Linked DNA regions of Lepisosteus oculatus. The protein of the gene in region 2 interacts with the protein of the main gene of each other region in a biochemical or structural test. Links are inferred from orthologs where the notes say so. Each region holds a gene or a part of one and is shown on either strand. Other genes may lie near its edges.

Evidence for each region.
Region 1: the proteins of cysltr2b (region 2) and dlg3 interact in a test that uses a peptide from one of them, tested with the Homo sapiens proteins (2 studies listed by IntAct, with this or other methods). The link is inferred for Lepisosteus oculatus from reciprocal best matches to the Homo sapiens genes CYSLTR2 and DLG3.

What each region holds. Positions count from the first base shown.
Region 1 is NC_090703.1:49,924,415-49,934,648, reverse strand, and holds the start of dlg3 (disks large homolog 3), read right to left. Parts: upstream 4,658-10,234; 5' UTR 4,132-4,657; coding exon 4,116-4,131; intron 2,055-4,115; coding exon 1,923-2,054; intron 1-1,922. Other genes in the region: glycerophosphoinositol inositolphosphodiesterase GDPD2, read right to left, coding at 8,127-8,191, 8,841-8,863, 9,406-9,488, 10,125-10,234. UniProt on the Homo sapiens protein: Required for learning most likely through its role in synaptic plasticity following NMDA receptor signaling.
Region 2 is NC_090700.1:17,325,297-17,336,597, reverse strand, and holds the start of cysltr2b (cysteinyl leukotriene receptor 2), read right to left. Parts: upstream 5,225-11,301; 5' UTR 5,074-5,224; intron 1-5,073. UniProt on the Homo sapiens protein: Receptor for cysteinyl leukotrienes. The response is mediated via a G-protein that activates a phosphatidylinositol-calcium second messenger system.

The DNA.
Region 1 (10,234 bases), on a different chromosome or scaffold from region 2:
GGGTGGGGGGGAAACTGTGGATCTCTCGTCACCACCACCACAGTCTGATAAACTTTGCAACGTTAGCGGGAACCAAAAAAAAAAAAAAGTCAGAGTAATGGAGCAATCTGGCGCGGCAGGATACGGAGAAGGGCCAGCGACGGCGGGGGAGCTCTCCAGGTAAGGGGGCGCTCTTACGATGCGAGCCGCGGCGGTGCTGCGAGTTTGTGCTTGATTGCTCCAACACCCAGGGAGCCCCGCGAGTGAATGTCTAACTTGCAGTTAGTGCTGGGCACAAAGAGGCAGGTAATGACTGCACTGCACCACGCAGGAGCTATTTATGGGATAATTTATTACTCATTAATAATGCATTAGTACGAGTTTCAGCTTATCTTTGTTTTATTATTGAGCCGTTAATCATGTAAGAGCAAGGAAATCTGCAGTGCTCTCCCAAAGGCTTATTACTGGGATGGGGAGAACCTGAACTCTCTCTTTCCCTTTTTAAAATAATGAGGGAAAGTTTAAGCAAAGCATTCATTAGAGTTTCTTTGCACTTGCACAAAAAAAAAAAACACTTTTTCGCTGATAGGGAGGTTCCTGCTGTTCCCGAAGTGAGGAATGAAATTCTCTCACTGCAGAAGACAGGGCCTGGGGACAGTGGGGCGGTGCACTACTGTACTGTGTCAGAGAGAGAGGGTTGGGGTCGTTACGTGACAGGCAGAAGGATCATACAGTTTGCAAAACACACTTTCTACATGTATCAATATTACAGAAAAACATAAAAAGATAGGTTTGTGAATGATCAGTGTTGTGAGCTAATGCCCAGTAAGTCAATATCAAATATATGTAAAGTATTGGTATGGCAGGTAACCGCATAGTACCATATATTTTTACATTTGACGAGCCTTGTGAATATTTTATTGGATAAAACCAATGATTAGCATGTATTTATTTTTTCAATTATTCTTGTTCTTGTTAAAGAGCAGAAACATAAAACTTAATTATCAAGATTGTACTTGAGTGTCATTAGTGGAGTCCCATAGGGATTCACAGCTACATATTTTATGTTCTTACGTATCAAATAATATATCAATAGACCAGCTATCTATCTAAATTCTGATACAGGTAGTAAACTTGTCAAGTCACAGTTGGTATAAAAACAGTACAGGATCGGCAAAGGAAAATCGAAGAGACAGACAAATTGTGTTTGAGCAAACGCTGGCATGGATATTTCATGTAGAGAAGTACAGAATATTACACACAGGGAGAAAAAAACACTGAGCTAGAAGATGCTGTCTATGAAAAAGGCTTAAAGTCTTTAAGCTGTTATCATTTGTCTTAAAGACAAACGTCTTAGAGGGGAAGCAATAGAAGTTTAACAGAGATTAGGATGTATATTAACAGTGCAGAATTCACATCAAGGGACGTTGTGTTAAATTTGTATTGCGCACCACTAAGAGCTCAATTAGGATACTGTGTACAGTTTTGGACACCACGTAACAAAAAAGTTTTTTTCTGTTCTGGAGTCAGACCAGAGAAAAGCCACCAGATACATCAATGAATGCCCTACCCTGACAGGCTAGAATAGCGCAATATTTTCTGTCTTGAATAGAGAAGAACATGAGGGGACCTGTTTCAAGTACTCCGATTCTTGAAGCTCATTGACAAATTTCTTCACGTGGAGACCGCAGGGCAGTGCATTTAAAACCCGAGGACAGCGGGCGCCTCACTCCACAGAGGGCTGTGGGAGCACGCGCAGTTCTGTTGCGAAAGTTGACACCCCGGCCTCTTTCAAGAAGCCGGTGGATGAGATGGTCGGATCAGCCACAAGGTGGATGGGTGATACAGCACATGCATGTGCATGCTGGAATGTTGTGGCTCTGTACGACTGATGCTCATCTACCTATTCACCAGTGAAGGAGACGGACAAGACACAGGCTTACCCAGAAGGGCCTGGAACAGCTGGCTGCCGAAGATGGCGGTGACTTTGCCCACGCTGGCTCTCAGAGGCTGCTCCTCCGGGCCAGTGAGGCTGGCCTGGTACTGCCTGAGCAGGCTCACAGCCCTCTGAGTGTCTGCGGGACAGGGGACAAAGGAGTCACACAAGGCAAAAGGAAGCATCGCAGGCCAGTGTCATTCAGCCATTCGTCACCCTGAGCCACGGACACGGCTAGCAGAGGAGCAAAGAGGCTACCAAAAACAGGTACAGGGCTGCATTCATCTGAAGGTCACACAGAAAAAAAAGTGCTCTGTACCTCTCTGTCACTAGTTAAAATAGGACATGTCTAGCAACATTCTAACTATTATTAAACACCTGTGTCAGTTTCTTATTACAAGTCCAAACCAGGTCTCAGCATGCTTATTTCTGTAGGAAGCGAACCTTGTGAGTAAATCTGCTGTCTCAGGGTGTAAAATGCGACAACGTGACACACTGTGCAAAGCACTGGGTGCATCATTTATCAGCTTCCCACCAGAGGGCAACTTGGAAACGGAGGTTGGCAGCGCTGCATGAACTCAGGGGCGAGCTCACCTCTGTCGCCGGAGCCGAGCAGCACACCAAGTCGAAGACGAACGCTGAAATAACTGCACAGCCCCGGAGGTTGCAATGCAGCAGCCGCAAGTTCACTCTTTAATACTTAATTTCCAAACGAACCAGGTCTGGGAACGTCCTTTTAACAATCAGAACATGTCTGATACTCTGGCAGTTTTAGGGTCTTTAGTCCAGTTGTGTATGACTGCTTACACAGGTTCCCTTGTGTTGCTTTGCTGTTAAGGGATGTTACACAAAGCAGCCCAACACACTGAAATCAATATCACAGTTAAGGGAGGGAGTCCACACTTCCCTGCCTGGGACTGACTCTTCAGCCTGGGCCAGAATCAGTTAAATATCTCTAGGAAAAAGTGTTTTAAAGCCAAAATAGCAGCGTATTATTTAGATAACATGTATAATTCACACAGTAGTATTCTGTATACAGTTGCCAATTCTGTGGCAAGCATTCCAGTGGAAAATTCAGCCTGTGGATTTTCTCAGGGAGTGACTTTTAATATTTAAAAAACCTAGACTTGTGGTGTATCACAAGCCATAGCTCCTGCAGAGCAGCACTAATTCCTTAATAGACCTGTGAGCCAAATTCCTCCTGCTTCCGAAGCTCACGACAACACTTACCCATGTCTTGTTGACCTATGACCCCTGGGGACAGATGTACCTCATTTTCCCGGGCAGCTCCATTCACACAAGAGGACAAAATTCCACACCAAACATCCCACGTGAGCACAAAGCTACCCCTTGATCTGTGCACGGAGACTCAGATCTTAAGTGCCTTCATTCCAAACCATTTTTTGTGAAACTGCAGCTAAAGTAGTACTGTTACATTGCCCAGTAGTGATATAGTTGCAGTTACTGTTATCAGCAGTATTAAATTAATGTAGGGACTGCAGCACTAATCTGTAGATTTTTTTCCCGACAGGCAGCTGCAGGAGTAGCAGCTGTAGCTGCAGGTGAAAGCGCCAGTACACTGTTTTAATACTCATCATATGCGGATGTATAAGCAGAGCAAGGGAGGTAAATATTAGGGGATGCATGCAAAAGCTCTGCCCTCTGGTTTGCCACTTCATAGGCAAGAACATCTGGCATTTTGTAACCATAACAGCCCCGCAGTGCGTGCTCGCGTCCGGGATGCTCGCAGGGGCGTGACGGTGCGCTCCAGCCCCGTGCTGCAGGTGTCGGCCGCCCGCCTCAGGTAGCGGCTCACCTGGGGGGGCAGCGGCCGCCCAGCCTCCGCGTCCGTCCCTGCCCACACCCCCCCTCCCGGCCTCTCGCAAAACCGCGCTGCACTGGCACCGTGCGGATTATTGAAACTTTCCAAGGAAAAATACTTCCTGTTTCCCTTGAGAATTGCGAAAGGAGCGTCTGGCTTCAAACCGCTCCAGCATACTCGGAATGTGTTGAGTAATACTGAGCGCAAGTGCCATCTGCTGTTAGCGTTTTCATTCCCATCAGGTTTACTTCAGGAACAGGTGTCTGGCCCTTTTAACATCTCGCCGGCATTTGTGAAGTTTTATTAGAAGTTCGAACAAAATCATTAAGCAAAACAACAACAACGACAACATAAAACAGCCGTATCATACACACTTACCGTACTTGTGTACCATGACGTGAAAGCGATGTAACGATGAAGGGAACCGTTTCACCGAGTGAAGTTGTCTCTTCGGCACCCCTAAACCTTGCTAAAGACATATAACCTCACTTGGCAAAGGGGCGGACAGGAGAGCTTACTACTCGTTATGTTCACGGGCTTTCCCAAACTTTTTTAATAACTTCCTTTCGCAACTTCGGAAGAGCCGGCGACCCAAAACTAAAAAAAAAGAGCAGTCGACGCGAAAGGTTTCCCTTCGAAGTTGCCTCCTTGCCCGACCCTCCTAGGACGGACCGAGACACGGTGGCCGCCGCCGCCGCGCTGGAGCTATTTTTTCCCGGCTGTACCGGGGACGAGAGATCAGCCCCGTGTCAGAGCGAAAGTGTGCGGCCGCCGAGCCCCCGGCCTGCGAGGCGTCCTTAGTGTGGAACCCGGAGTGGGAACGGCTCTGGGACGCAGGGGAGAGGGGAGGGTGGGTCCAGCAGATCGCCTCCTTAGCTCCCCGCACCGCCGGACAGCGACCGCCAGGGGGCCGCCTTCGCGGTGCGTAAAGTTTTGGAAACGCACTCGACCAGACACTCACCGCCACGCTTCATTGACACCTGTTGCGGTCATAATGAGAAAGGCAGAAAGCAAAAAAAAAAAATGCAAAGTGTCTCGCATTTACCCTCTGCGGGATATGCTAGTTGAAGAGCTACGAACGTAAAATTAGACGTTTCTTTTTTGATCTGGGAACAAAAAGAATTTCTATTTTCAAGGGAGGAGTAGCGGTAGGTTTGTAGACCTGTTATGTTTACGAGGAGAGCGCAGCATTTACTATACCTTGATGTTCAATCCGGAGAGTAAAACTGTTCAAAAAAGCAGATGCAAACAGAACTCGTTCGCTTAAAATAGTTGTAGAAATGTACTGTTCTGATTATATCTTTGTGTGAGAGTAAAAGAGGACTCGACGATTCACTCACACCGAGCTTTTTCCTTCAGCTTTAATCTGCATTTTCCGATATAGTTCACACCGTTCAGGTTGTACCCGCAAAGAAAGATTGTCTCAGAAATACAATCAGTTTTGTACACAGAACGTATTGTGCCGTTGTAGCAAAGTTATAAATTGAAAGTCTTTCTAAAACGAGTTTCAGATGCACAGAAACGGAATATGCGGTGGCTGCTATCTAGTGGCGACGAGCCGCAGTACATCAATGCTGTCTTTTTTTAAAAACTAGAGGAAGCGGAACAAGCGCTTACAGCCTGTTTATCAAATCCGTTGGTCCCTGTGGAGCACCTATATCGTGCAAACCGCTCGGTGTGACAGTGACACGTGGAAAAAAATGCAGACGAGCCACCTAGAAACGCGCTTCCACGAAACAATGTCAGAACACCCCCACAGAGCACCCTGGTGTCCCACGCGTATGTGCTGCCGACGTCATTGCTCCCCAGTGCTGCTCTCGCAACACCGCGGTTCGAGAAGGCCAGCCCCGGGGGCCTGACACGAGTGGGAAATAAACCCAGCTATGTTCACGACAGAAAACAGGAGACGTTTCTCGGCACAGAGGATTGTGGGAATTGGAACCAAGTCCCTAGTCATGGCTGTGAAGTTGTGAGAAGCTACTGTACGCCTGTGGATCCTTTAAGAAGGAGAAAATCGTAGACTTAGAACAACAAGACACTAGAATCCAAATGAGCAGAAGTCTCAGAAGATGAGGAGGCATCTCCTGCTCTGGGTGCTGGGGAGTGGGCAGATCTTATAAGACAAAAGAACACCGTAAACATTTTATACACTCAATTTCTAACGTTTATTTGAGAGAAAAAAAACATTTCAAAATCACTTCCTTTTCACAGACCCAGGGAACACTTTGCACACAGAGAATGCCTAGAACAAACAGTTAATGTCTGAAATAGTTTCCAAGCATTTAATGGGAACCCAGCTCATTTCAAGGGACCCTTCAAGGATGCATGAGACGCTGACAGGCTTTGCAGTGGGGCTGCGGTCAGCCTCCGGTGAGCCGAAATGTTTGTTTACCGCCTCAAGGTCGTTGTGTGATTCCTCTCCCCCTTTCTGCAGCTTCGGTGAAACAGTGCATTGCCACGAAGGAGAGAAAAATCACAATACAGAAGACGGATATTGAACCGTTTACGGAAAACCAGGACTATTCAGTCACCCATCTGCAATCGGAAATTCCCGAGCCAGCTCTGGGTACACATTGCCACATCTCTGGCGGGGGCAGAGGGAGGCTCTGCTCAGAACACATGCACAGCATGCGATGGGCAAGACCAGGGCCCGCCTGCTCTCGCTGGGCAGGAGTTAGCCCATCTTCCAGGTGTCGGATTTTAAGGTTGCAGGAAACCTGCTGCATTCCGAGGGGCACACCTGGACCAGGCTGACCAGCACTGCTGCCAGGGAAGACACTCTGGCTGTGGAGGACTGAACACTGAGGGCTTTTCATGCAGCCACAGGGGGTCCTAGTTGGACAGGTAATCTGAGGGGGAGACAGCACACAAAGAGGCACTTCGGAGCATGAAGACGCTAGCATCTGACTTGTGCACGGGGACAGTGAGTGGCTCGCAGTGAACGCAGGGACAGCAGGAAGGAGGAAAAAGCCCCAGAACAGCCCAGTGTTTCACAGTATATAAGCAAAACATAATACAGACTTCACAATAATATCTGTACACAGGTAGAGTGCTGGTAGTTAAGGAAGGCACTAAATATGTAAAAAAAATAGTGTCTTTTAAAAAATATACTGTAAAATGTCATTGATATATCAAATGTTCCTCCAAAAAATAATTATATACCCTCAAAGCTCAAATACATACTGTCTACCGAGAAACATCAAAAGAGCGACCACACTGAAATTAACATGAACAAACCTCTGAATACTAAACTAACACAGTTACAAACATGGAACAAATCGCTTTAGGCAAATAGGCAACCAGTAAACATTTGTCCATTTTTGTGGATACAGTTTTTGGTTGCATCAGGGGCCAAAATGCCTTATGTCACACCCACAGAAAGTGTCATTAAGAAGGTCGTATGTTAAATGGGGCTCATGACAAGCTTTGAAGACTTCACAACACTTGACACGTATTGTGTCTCCCTCATTTACTATTGTGTGCATCACGCCACGCTGTCCCTGAGAAGATCACTGTGGAAAGTGCAATTCTGTTTAAGTGGTGCTTCAGCAGTAAACAAGTCGTGGACTAATTTCCTAGCAATGGATGCATTTTAAATCCGTTCTCTGAAAAACTGAATTTGCTACATCATTAATTAAAAATGAAATTACTGATACATTAATTGGAAAAATATATTTTGTAGAAAACCACTTTAAGAAGTCCATTTCTGTACAAACGTCATAAAACAATTTATCTGCTGAAATACACTCGACTGACTGACTACTTCAGTATCCTTAAATGTCTGACCATTATCCTGACAGGAGGACTTAAGTGAAATAAAGAATTTGACAAATGTCCACTTGAAATGTCTGTGCTAGACACAGTTCTTCTGACAAGGTAAATGTGGTTCATATACAGCTCTCTGTATATATGTATATTTCTGAGGAAATTTCACATTGATTCCTGTTCAGATGCAAATGGAATCTGTTTCCAGAATAAACCTGAAATGTTAGTCCTTTCTCATGTGTTTCTGTTTGAAATAATGACAGTGCAAAGCCTGAGCAGGCTTTCTAATCACCCAAAATGCACATCCCCCACATCATTCTGCTCCATGGTTTCAGTGCTTGAAGGACAGACAATCAACCCACACCAGTGCATTTGCAATGAAACCTTCTATCCATTAGAGAAGAGAGTCACAGTTACCCCAGACCCGTGTACCCCAAAAAACAGACTTCAGTAGAGAGGCAGCCCCCAGCAGCCCGGACACTTTGGAAGGCACCATAGAAAATGTCACCTTCCCCAAATGAGAGAGCTGTGCCTTCCTTCCCCAGAAAGTGCATGATGCTTAAGAGAGAATCCTAGATAGTCCCAGAGGTAGAACCCAGAACCAGACTGTCGTCGGCCCGGCTTTCACAAGAAGGTGTCCAGTTCTTGCTCATTCCATACTGAGTACCCGTTTCTGTGCTCCTCGCTCTCTGTGGAGAAACGGATACAGAGCATTTCAGTGTCTCCTCCTTGCTGCAACTCAGTGCACTCCACTTGCATGCAGGCTAAAGCTCTGACTTGTGACACATTGTTCCATTGCATTGCCACCAGGGTTTCTTTTCCCAGCATTATTCCTTACAAACAAGCAAAGTCTTCAAGTGGCTTCAACAGACACTGCAGGGGATTCTCTTGTTTACCCTTCCCATGTCCAGATCCATGCAAATATCTCATTTACTGCAGTAGTGTTCCAGCAGGACCTTTGTCCTCTTAAAAAACTCCAACATAAAAGGATTAAACTGACATGATTTTTTCAGTAAGTAAGATAAACCTTTTTTTGTTTTGTTGTTCGTGTAAAAATCTTAAACAGAATAATCAGGTATGTCTGCCCAAACACAGTTTACAGGAAACCTGTGAACAAGCATACAGTTTATGTTGAACCTGGTGTTATTGTTACCAGTGAAGAGAAAGCACTGAGCTTACAGTCTCCTCATTGTCAGATATGCTCAGAGTCACAGATGACACAAGAGAAATCCCCTCCTTCAAGCTCTTGACCCAGGCAGTGCAGCACAGAGTTTCTGTGTCTCTGGTCTGCTGTCCTACACTCCTTCTGTATGTGAAATGGTAATGAAGCGTACTCACCAGTCCCACGAGTGAAACGCCGCCTGGTTTAAAAACAGAGACAGAAAACAGGATCGGTCAGGTTGCACTTGTAAACCAATACTGGACCCACAGACAGCAAAAGGTCACAAAGCGTTTAATAATAATAGCAGACCTCTCTCAGCAGACCTCTCTCAGTGAGGCACCACTACAGTAACATTGGGATGCATGTCAATTTTGCAATGCCTTATGATCATTGATAACACCTACATAAACATTTTGTAAAATGTTTATAGTAAACATTAATACAATGTCTCCCCTATCATAATGCAGTATGCAATATCGCAAGCCACAGGCCTTCAGGAATTCAGTGGTGTTGCTGATCACTGGAAACTGGAGTGTCCTGACCGGCTAATCCCAACCCAGTCCAGCCTGGGAGAGCTAGTAACCCTAGCTCAGATTCCCAGCGCCAGGAACACAGAGCTCAGCCTGGGCTCAGTGAGTGTCTCATTAGAGATCGATGGTTATCTTAATTGACGGGTGTCAGCCCATCAGACCGAAGCACAGGGCCGCAGGTTTTAAAAAGCCAAGCCTCTCTGGGACTCACCTCTGTAGCAGGAACAGGCCCAGGATGACAAGCAGGAAGACAGAGTCCACGGTGATCCAGAGCATAGTGTAGGTATCGGGAGCCTGAAAACACGAGCACACAGAGGCTGGCCATCAGTCTACTGTGGAAACCACAGCTACAAATTCTTTGCCAGTAAACCGAGTTTCCTCCAGCTTTTGTATTTGACCCAAAGGGTTGTGAGAGTCTGTGCCTGTGGCTGGAAGGTTGCCGGTTCGAATCCTGTGACCGGCAGGGGAATCCTATCCATTGGGTAAAACCCTTCACCCCAACTGCTCCAGGGGCGCCGTATAAATGGCTGACCCTGCGCTCTGACCCCCAGCTTCTCTCCCTGTCTGTGTGTCTCATGGAGAGCAAGCTGGGGGTCATTTGAAAAGACAAATTCTTAATGCAAGAAATGCCAATAAAGTGATCTTAAAAACATGGAAACCTCAAAACCGTGGTCAAGCTCACGGAAATGCTAACAAAAGAAAATTCCTTCAAACCAGCCCAGATCATTTTTAAAAAAGTACATCTGTCCTATCATGCATTCAGATTTAAAGTGGAACTGGGGTTTTAATGCTTGATGTCATCTCATGCACCAGGGTGGGGTATGCACTGAGTATCTCCTCTCTGTTGAAAGAAGAAGTCCACGATGCTGCACGAGCACTGTTCACGGACGTTAGTGAGCGGCGTGGAAGGGGGCGTGTGGGAGTACTCACGAGGATCCAGGCGGGCTGCGTCATGTTCTTGAAGTGGCGGCAGGTGTTAGTGGTGACGGAGGTCACCCCCGAGCACCAGAGCAGAGAGAAGAGCCAGGACTCGTTCACCA
Region 2 (11,301 bases):
TCATACTAAAACTTTTAATTATGAGGTACTTTAACATTTTCAGAAGGAAGTGCTGATACATCTCTTTGATTTCTTTATTAGTATGTTCATTGACATTAGTATGAAAATACTTTGTTGGTTAAAAATGGAAATACTGTTTTTAAAAGGATCTGTAAAATTCATTTAGGAATGGTTCCTTAATGTTAAGAAAGCAGGCAAATAAAGTGGACAGCAGACCTGTTTTGACTCTGGCAGTGACAAGTTCGGCTGACTGAAATAATTTGTGATATTCTCGCATATTATATTGTGCATTTTGTTTTGGTGTTTAAACATTTCTATAGCATGTATGCCTTTTAACATTCTGTGTTTAAAAACTGTATATTTTTGGTCTTTGTTCTTTGTTTCGGTCTTGGCATTTAAAGTAACACAGGAGGTTGGCCATGGCTGTGTTTAGGATTATTAAAAAGACCTTACAAAGTATAATGGAACAGGAAATTGGTAAATCTGAATGAATTGTATTGAGGAATTCTGATTATTTTCTTTGCGCTAACCTTAGATTGCACCATAGATTGTATCTAGGTGTATAGTAAGGTCTTCTGAACCCAAAAATGTCACAACGAGTAGAACAGTGCCTGATTGAAGATCCACATTGACAGACAAGTTGACTTTTTTGCAATTTTTTTCATATTGTTGTTTTCTACGACCTGTCTTATAGGTGTTGGACAACAAAATACAGGGGGGAATTTTATGAAGAATCAGTCTCCCTTTGACGCAACAAATTCAGGTGTTCATCCCGTTACAGTGTGAAGGTTAAATCCCTGGTTTCCATTCAAAAGGATAGGGGGGTGCAGTAATGATACAATGCCAAATAATTGGTCATCATTTGTCCAATCATTGGATCATTTGTCCAGCAGCAGCGAAAGTCTAAGAAGTATTTAAAAGATCAAGAATCACAATAATGTGGAGACTTGAATAAAACATGTTTTCATCAATAGAGATAAAATAAAGGCCTTTAAATGAGACCTGCTTGGACTGTAAAATTGCCCTTAGAGTTACTGTACTTGATCCACAACAACCACAGCTCTATTTTAACAACTCAGTTATCCACAGACATAATGTAGAGATTGAATCTGATTTTTTGTAGGAGTCATCACCCCTTCTATGGCTGTTTGCACAGGACTTAAGAGTTTGAGCACAGGGGGACATACAGTATTGCTTTTCAAAGACAGGAAAAGTTCATGTTGCTTTTGAGGAATGTATCTTCAGGGGAAAAAATCATAGAAACTTTAGAAATATTTCTAGAAGGAAGGTATAATATATTAACATTCATAAGCAGATATGAGAATATTCTAAGTATAGTAGAGTTGCAAAAACTTTTTATGCTGACAAAAAATAACATCTATTCACATATAACCTTGCACTCGAATTGATTTAGTAGCCACTTTCACAATCTTTCAAACTGAGAATGGAAAAAAATAAATGATTTATCCAACCAAACAATCATTCATTTTAAAAATAAGCAAAACAATACACTGATGTATCCATCTGGAAATGTCGCATTTAAACATTATATTACAACAGCATTTTCAATTTAATGCAAAAAAAAAAACAAAACATCTATTGAGTTTTGAATATCTGACATGAACTGAAAAATGAGAACTCCATATAGAGTTGAATGTTGGCCAGGTTTGTGGAATTGTGCCAGGTTCTCAGGCGGAGGTTGTTGAGAGAAGGTATTTTGATTAAGTAGAGGGGGTGAATATGCTTTAAGGTCAACAAAACCTCAGACTAACAGGTTGCTCTTCCCTGGATGGATTCCACAGCATCAATATCGTTTTTGTAACATAGTCCATGACTAAAATAGTTCACAGTATTCTAAATGAGGACTTTTAACATAACATCCCTTGATTTAACTTCTACTATTTTGACAACCCATCCTTTTTATTGTCTGGTCTTTTAAATTACTTCCCCTCATCATTTCCTTAAATCTATCTACCTTATGTTAATTGTGCTTCACCATACTGTAAACACCTGCATCTTGTTACACGAGTAGCCTGTTCACATGTAGCATTTCCCACTTTGTATTTATAGCTAATGGCTTTGCTGCCTGCCTGTTATGCTCCCAATCTTGAATTGTATCTATTTTTATTTCATTTGCTGCGGTACAGTTTTTACTAATCATCCTATTTTGGTATCATCTGAAAACCTAACCAACTAGTTTACAAACTATACCAAAGTCTTGATCAATGTTTTGAACTAGGAACAGCAGTGGTCTTATGATAATCCCTATATTACTCCATTATTTATATCATCCCAGTTTTAGCATTCACCTTTTATCTGTACTCTTTGTTTTCTATTAATCAATCAATTTTCAACCCCCTCACATTTCTCAGAATGCCTCCCATCTGTAATTTGAAAATGTTTTTTTGAGGAAAGTTATCAAAAACCTTCTGAAAATCAGAAATAAAATAAACAAACTATATCGCATGTTTAGTGTATTTTCATTCCTACTGTTGTTTGTTCAAAGAAGTGCAACTAGTTATTAAAGCACAACTTACCTTTTCTAAATTAATGTTGTCCGTCCTCTAAGATCTTATTTGCATATATCTGATCTTCTAGTTCTAATTTGTGTTTCCAAACCTTACATGTAACAGAATTCAGAATTATTGGTGAAATTGGTTAAGTTTTGTCACCTTTTTATGGATGGGAACTTGCTTATGCATGACATCTCTTGTTTCCTTAAATTCAATTAGCAGGATACACTGGAGATTTATTAATCTAGAGTTCTCCTATTACCCTAAACACCTTTCTCTTCTCAGCTTATACTAATTAATACAGATGTTTGTTCTTCTGCTGCCAGAGGCATGTTATTAACTTCCTTAATGAATACCTATGTAAAATACTCATTATAGCCACTTTCCTCTCATTGTTTAGAAGTTTAGAAGTTATTGTCCTATATACATTTTACATCTGCTGCTCTACTTTTGATGTTGTAGTACTGACAGATCTTTTTATCATTTCTTTTAGACTGAATTGCTATATTCATTTTAGTCACTTTATTGTCATCTGCTAGAATTGGCCAGAATAAACATTATACATTGCCCAATCACAATGCATACAATCCACTTTTGTTACAATCAGTACTCTTTCATTTTAAGAGATTTATGTAATCCAGAACATGAACTGAATCATAGACTAGAGCTATCTAGACGGACCCAGTGTGTAAAGAATTAGTAATAATTAGTAATTCCTTGCATTTGTATAACATCATAGCAAACATGGGCATTCGGATACACTAAACCACAAGGCATTTACAAGTAAAGAACATAATAATGATTAACAGTGATTATAGGAGAACAAGCCTCAAGGTTTTTTTTTGTGAATCCTGTCACCCCAAATGTAGAGGACCACTTTAAGTGAACAAAATATTGCTGTTTTTTTTTATTTTATATAATAAATAAACAAATCACAGTTTTGTTTGTCAGCAATGGGACGTTGCTTCAGGACTGCAATAACTTCAGATTTTCCAAGTTGATTTGTTTATACCTTCCGGCAGTTGATGCCAATATTTAATCGTTGTGTCTTTAACATTCCAATACTAAATTTCTGTGATTGTTTATAATGTGCTCCTTATTGTATACTGAAATGTCCTGGACAAAATAACATGATTGATAACAAAATAATATCTACTGATTGTATCAATCGTCTTTTTATCAACCCCCTTCGAGTAATGAAAACTAATCATGTAACTGTCAGTTTTGGGAAATTGCTAGAAATATCTAGTTCTGAGACCTGAGAGTGATTTCCCTTCATATTGTGTAAGAAGGCTTTGTTGATTTTCTATACTTACCTGAAGTGACAAAAACAAGTAATCATATAACATAAAAGTCACGTTAACCACATTTTAAGGCTGAAAGAGGACAGCACAGCACTGTCACAAAGTATAAGGGCAGAGTTTTTCTTAAGAAAAATCAATCTCTTTCACTGAGAAGTTGTGGTAGTAATGGCAGAGAAAGACAGAAATCTGACATACACTAAATAATAAAGACATAAGTAACTGTTACAAAAAAACAAGACGTGAAGATTAGCAAACATTTGCTTTTGAATTCTTTCTGTGGTATATTTACACACCACTTGCTGTGAAAACAGATTTTGACACAGTTCTTCAATCTGAGGATTTGATTACAGTAATATAGTTTGTCTAACCAATGCAAAGTTATTGCTCTTATTTTTTATTATTATTAAGCCTGGAACATTTATATGGTACATTTGGCATGGTTGTGCTCTGAAACATACAATAAGTTAACTTGCTTTCACTCTGCTTTCCTTAATTCTTACTACACTTTAGGTGTGCTTTGTTGGTTATAGCACAGTACTTATGCAGGATCAGCTGTGGCAAATCATAATATTATCATTGGCTTCGTGTTACAACATATTGGAAGGTAACAATCTGCACATTTGGCATGTTAGTACAAAAGATGAAATCTCAAGGAATATCATGGAGCATTTGCTGACAGTGTTTAAGAACCTGTGCCACACTAAATAACCACAAGCACTCTTTGAGAAGAATGCACCAACAAAGTTGATCATATATCCCAAACACATGGCAAATGCTGTTAAAAACCAGCAGCCACTGTTTCATACTTTTTATTACTGACAGTTATAAGACAAATCTTTGATTCACTTTTACTGTAAGTTATAAACAGATGTTCATTTATGGCAGCTGATAATTAAAAAAAAAATCTTGCTTGCATAATTTGATCTACTCTTGCTTAAAAATAGTATTTACCCTCAGTGATATTACCTTTCCTTCAGGTTTTATGGTAAACAGTTGCATAAGTTGACATTTTAATACAGGGGCAGTTAATTTCAGTCCTTCGAGTCTGGAGTCCTAGTTTTCATTCCAACATTGAATTTACGACCTTAATTGAACACATTATTTGTTAAGAATTTAAATTAATTGTTTTTTATTAGCTGTTCAGTTGTTAAACGTAAATATCTCTAAACCCAGGAGGACTCTAGACAGAGAACTGGAATTAACACCCTCTGCTTTAAGTGATCTTATTATTTAAAAAATTAAATGCATTAACATACCTTTGTTGTTTCTGTTATTTCTTCCAAAACGTGTACTTTTGTTTCTTGCGTCAAGATGAGCTGGTATTTCCAGAAGCTTTTCTCCTTTGTTTTTGAAAGAAACAAGTTCTTAATTTTTCTTAGTCTGCAGCTTAGTGGGGAGTGACACAGTTTTAAATATATCAAGCTTTCTAACTCAGAGGCATGTTAAGGGGGAGGATCTCTTACTGTATATGACATGCAAAGCCCTGCCTCTTATGTTTGCCATTTGAGAACACATTTGTTTGAAAGGCCAGACAAGTACTTTGCTTATGTGATTTATCTAGATTTATAATACTGTGCATTATGTAGCTACACTGGAAAGAGTGACATGGTCCTGCACAGTAGAAAAGCTTAATGTGTTTTACAGCTTTCAGTTCTCTAAAAATATAATCAGGAACCAGTAATCTGGCAAACAATGAGTGATAAAGAGGAAAGGCAAACAAGTTAAAATATTAATAGGAGGTACCATACAAAGTACCAAAAAGAAGACAATTGAAAGAAAATGATCTAATCATATGACAATGCACAGTAAATCATTAAAATGACTTTTTTGGGATCTTCAGAGGGAAGGTAGCACAAGGGAATGTGCTGCCTCCAAGCATTCAGATCACGGATTTGATTACCCACTGCAGTGCCTTCTGTATGGAGTCTGCATGTTCTCAGTGTGTTCTTAATTCTAAATGGGTCTAAATTGTCCCTGTATGTGTGCACTCTGTGATGCAATGGCTTGCCCCCAAGGGGGCAGTCACGCTAGCAGCCTGTACTCTGAGTTTCCTTGACCCTTTCCAAAACAACAAGCAGCTTATTGGAAGAACAGATGGCGGATTTTCAGCAGAAAACAAACATTCACAGCCCAATATCCCTGACAATGGTAGGTGATTCAGGGCTGCAATAGGTATAATTTTTCAGAATGATATATTGGCACTAGAAGTTGATATAATTTTAATATTACCATACTGATAACATTCAAAACTACAAGCAAAGCTAGACTGTTATGCTATAAGGGGAGGGTGTGCCAGCTGACTGTATTTGTCCTAATCCATTATCCTTCCATCCTGTATCCATGATGTTTCATCCAATTTAGGGTTGCAGGGGCACTGGAGCCTATCCCGGCAAGTGAGGGGCACAAGAGGGGATACACCCTCAACGCAATGCCAGTCACAGGACACACACAGACACAAGCACACATACACTCACACCAGGCCCATTTATTCCAGACACCAATGAAGCTACACAGTATAGGCAGACTCCAGCAGAAAACTGGGCGAAAACATCTGTGGAATTTAACACAAATTCCACCCAGAGAATATACAAACTCCACACAGATAGCACCCCAGGCCCAGAACTGAACCCAACACTTCAAGGCAGTAATACTAACCACTGTACAACAGATAATTATATTCAAATTATAATTTTTTCTCAATTTATACAGGATAATCTGAATAATTTGACAGTCACAGGATAATATGTTTTTAACAAGCGACATGTATTTGACTTAACTTTTATTTAGGTTTAAAATGCTGAGAAATAATTCATTTATTGCAAACTGACAACAGGGGTATTTTCCCGTGGGTCTCAGGAAATATCTTTTTATTCTAATTCAGTACTAAATATTAAAGGTCCAGCTACAAGGTTTTTTTTTCACCAGGGTTTATTACCATGCCTCACAGTTTAAATTGCTAACAGTGTTGTCAAAGGGAGTATTAATGAGAAGTTATTGGTCTTCTGACTTTTGGTAACAATTTTTGAAGTGGCTTTTGTATCCTTTATGAGAGGAGCATGATATAGAATAGTGTGTTACTTTTCAGTGCTGTGTCAGGTAAGCAAAGCCTACTTGTTCTGGTGGTACATGTGACAATCCTGTCGTTTGTGGGGAAGGTTTTCAAGTTGATACAGTACATTCATCTTGTTTCTACCATTTCATTAGAGAGCCATTGATTGCAAGTATTTGTAATTCTGTAATTGAATTTCTTCAATTACAGAAATGCTGCCTTTGTGTTGCTCCTGACCATCACTGGCAAATACTAAAAGCTTTAAACCAAAGGAGCCAAGTTATAGCCCCTTATACTGTACACTTGATTATATAATCAGAGATTATAACTCTCTGTTTAGGTTTAATGGGAAATCAATTGGTGAATCATAATGGTAGATTCAGGTACAACAACAGATAAAACACTGATTGTTCTGTAGCTACAAACAAGAATGTTTAACAATAAGCTGGATTTGGTTACATCATAAAACAAATTGAGGAAATGGAACATACTGTTCAAACACATTTTCCATCTTAGCAAATACATTAATGTCAATTACCATCAGAGGAATCGTAATTAGTTTTATGTGTTGAGCGATAAGCTATGCTGTCTGTGTAATTGGTTACATTGCACAATATTGCTCATTCATCTCTTTCTCCTTTGTTTTGCACAAATGTGTGCACCACAGTTTAAAATAATGTTTCCTTTGTTTTACCTTTGTTGATGACACATCTTTTGCAATTGGAGTGTCTAGCTCTGGTGTTTGAGGGCTTGTATGTGTGCTGTTTTATTAAATTCCAAATAATCACTTAAATCAACTCATTAACCTTAATTGGACCAATTTGGTCTCTCCAGGTGCTGGGGCTTTGAGGAGACATTTAGAAAACCAGCAGACACAGCAAGACCCCAAGACCAAAATGTGACTATCCTTTGTTAAATCAATACTGTAAACAACTTCAAGGTTTCAAATACAGTAAGACATGAGCAATATATTTTCATGGGAACTACTGTGTGACATAATCTAATCTGTAGTAGGTGTACTGTAGGTAGTACATGAGAGAAAACATCTTTGTCTAGTGCCCAGGAGCTCTGTCAGAGACTGCCAGCTGACCCTGCCCCTACTAGTCCCACTTGTGGCTAATAGCTGCTCATTGCAACACTCACTGTTTATACGAACACTTACTCACTCCTCTGTACCCTGATGTCTGCCAAAATTGGTTATTTTCCCAATTAAAGTGCTCAAACTTTTTAAAACTTTTTAAACTGCAAACAGTACGACAGCTGAACAGTGTGGTGAAACAGGAAATGCATATGTGCAAAAAGCTTGAGAAGTTGGAGTTTCAATTGTTATTTACCCAAAGGGGTGTACCTAATTGTTAATGATTTTTTTCGGCAAACTAAATTTTGCAAACTAGATGAAAATATGCATTGACTAACAAAAATGGGCCTGTTCCAGCACATCTCATAAAATGCAATTTATTTACAATAATGCATTCAGGTGATCTGAAGGCATTATCCAGAATGCATTTTAATGTCCTTCTCCAGAGAAACACACCAAGGTAGGGTACATACTGTACCAGTCCATCACAGGGCAGACATATATTCAGAATGCTCACACCAAACCAGAGCACCCAGAGGAAACACCCACACAAACTCTACACAGATAGTGTCCCAGGTCTGGATTTGAACCCAGAGCCCTATCACTACATGGCAAGAATGCCAACCACTGCACCACTGTGCTGCCCATGTCTGTTCATACAGAGTATTAAAGATTTTCTTTTGCCGGCTTCTAAAAGAAGAGCTCTGTCAGAGATTGCCTGACACACTCACAGGAGCCAGGTCTACAAGGGTTATAGGCTGTCATCTTCAACACCACCTTGATCAACTCAGATCCTGATATAAAGAATTCAGTTAATTTTTATGAATATAATGTAGCTGTAGTGGGCATTAGTGGGCTCAGTGATTTTGTACTGTGCTGATTGAATAATGATTAAACACTTCATTAGGGTTGAGTATCTACATATTCTAGTGTTAGCTGGGGATTTGTAAAAGCATCACATCTTGAGAATTTACATTTCACATGCTCAAAAATCCCTTAAAGTAAAACCCTCTAGCCTCTTAATGAGCATAACAGATTCAACAAAAAAGTACCTTTTCTTGTAAATTTGTATAGCGCTAGCTATGTAGTTTGAACTTTATCATTAAGCGTTTTAGAACTAATAAGCAAAAGACAAATTAACTAATGGGTTTTTGTATAGAGAACAGTAAATATTGGTCAGTGTTCTACAGTATTCCTAAATTGTAAGAAGTTCTGACAGAAACCCACCCTTACAGAGAGGAAAAGATCAGAGACAAGGTAATAATTCACAGGCAGATCAGCTTTATTTTTACTCGTCATCATATTTGGGAAGACCTAGCTGCAAAGATGTTATTTTACTAAACTAACATGAACTGAACAGGCTTGGGCCTTTGGTTCACACCAGTGCGTAACATCTGCTTGGCACTCCGTTTTTCCTCAACTTGTAAGAAATTTGTATCTTTTTTAATTTATTTGATTTTTTTTTCCTTTTTGGAACCTGGAAGATAGGTTCACAAATCCATGGATTCTGAAGAAGTACTTTAACAAGTTTGAAATTGTTAATAGGCTTTGGTGACCAGCCTCAGCAGCACTTCCTCCTTAAAACCTAGTTATGTCAGGTATTTTGTAGCCATGTCAGCGTATGTATTGTATTGGAAACCTGTAAGGAGAAACACAATTTTGCTACAAGACATGGAATTAGATGGTCTTGCTCTCGATTCTGGATTAAAGCAGATATATTAGTTTCACATTGTTGGCTACTGATGCAAGGGTGCAGTTAATCTAGAGAAAGAAACCAAATCACATTTTTGCTTATGCTGAGGACCTTAAAGCTGTCTCCACACACAATTGATGACATGTAAAACAAGAGTTAATAATATACAGAAACATATGGGAACACACACCCATGATAATAATTGTTAATGGTTTATAACTTGTTGACTGGTTTCTAGAGCAGCATGGTGGTACAGTGAGCAGCTCTTGAAATTTCTGTCAGTGCTGAGGCTCTGGGTTTAATCCCAGACCTGGGGTCCTCTCTATATGGAGTTGGTATGTTCCCAATTTGTTTATGTGGGTTCCCTCCAACTGTCCAAAACCTACTGGTAGGTTAATTGGCCTCTGGGAAAACTTAATTTATCTACTAACTTTGTTTACTATTTAATTGCAGAAACAATTAAAAAATAAATAGTTTGATTAAAAGTTCAATAGGTTTAATTCAGACAAGGTTTGGCTGGAAGGAGAACCAAAAAACTGGATTAATGCTGAGGAAATGACCTTCTGGCTACTGCTCTTCATTAGTAAAACACTTTACTCTTATTCCGGATGTGTTGTACAAGGTTATCATGCAGTGTTTGGGTCTCTGACTCCAGGAGGAGTGCAGTCCTGCAGGTTTCCATTCTAGCAAAATTTGTAATGCTAATAGAGCTAATTATTGTCTTAATTAGAGCAGTTTTATAGTTTTTCCAGCTCTTAGGTGATGCTGATGAAGAGACCTATAAAACCTGCTAGAATGTAGCCCTCTAGTAGGAGAGATAGAAAAAATAGAGTGCTAATCTCTTTCCATTTGTTTTATTGCAAATGATGCACAGTAGTGTTTTAGCCATAAAACACCTGTCACAGGAAGACTTACAGCACAATTAAATGTAAAGATTAGAAAGCCATAAACCTATTTCTGAAAGAGTGAAAAAGAGATAGTATGATGTAGACCTACACTATCAAAAACTGGATGTCAATATTCACCCAACAGAAGGCCTGGGTGATGGGAATGATGATATTTTCCTGTTTCAGAACGTTGCGTCATATTAATGTTTGTTCCCCCCACCCCCCTTAGCAAAATGCTGTTTAGTCTAATGAGGAACACATCTCAGAAGTTTATTAGCACACTGACATATCTTCCTTTTCTTAACAAAAGCCTTCCAACTAGTGTTCTGTGCATGTACTTTAGAAAAACAATTGTTGAGGGTACTTGTCACATTCCCTTTTTACATTTTATGTGTCGTGATTCATCTTGTTTCTAAATGAATAAGTCTCCGAAGTTTATCTGCTGTGTTGTCAATAATAGTAAATGTAGGGTGCTTACCGATGTACAGTATGTAACGGCCAGTAAACTTGAATACCTGTCGGCTTCCATTTCCTAGAAACACCAAGGGCGCCCCCTGGAGGATGCTGCTTATCTGTGTATGGTATCCACTACCGGTAGATGGCAATGAGCTATGTACTGCGTCCAGTCCATTGTGGCCAACGAATTTTGGACAGTTGTGCGTTGTTGTTGTTGTTGTTGTTGTTGTTTTTCACTATTTCTTGTTTAAGGAAAAATAGGATAATGCACGCTGAATAATAAAATATCTGCTCCGGAGTTGGCACTTTACCACTTTAAAA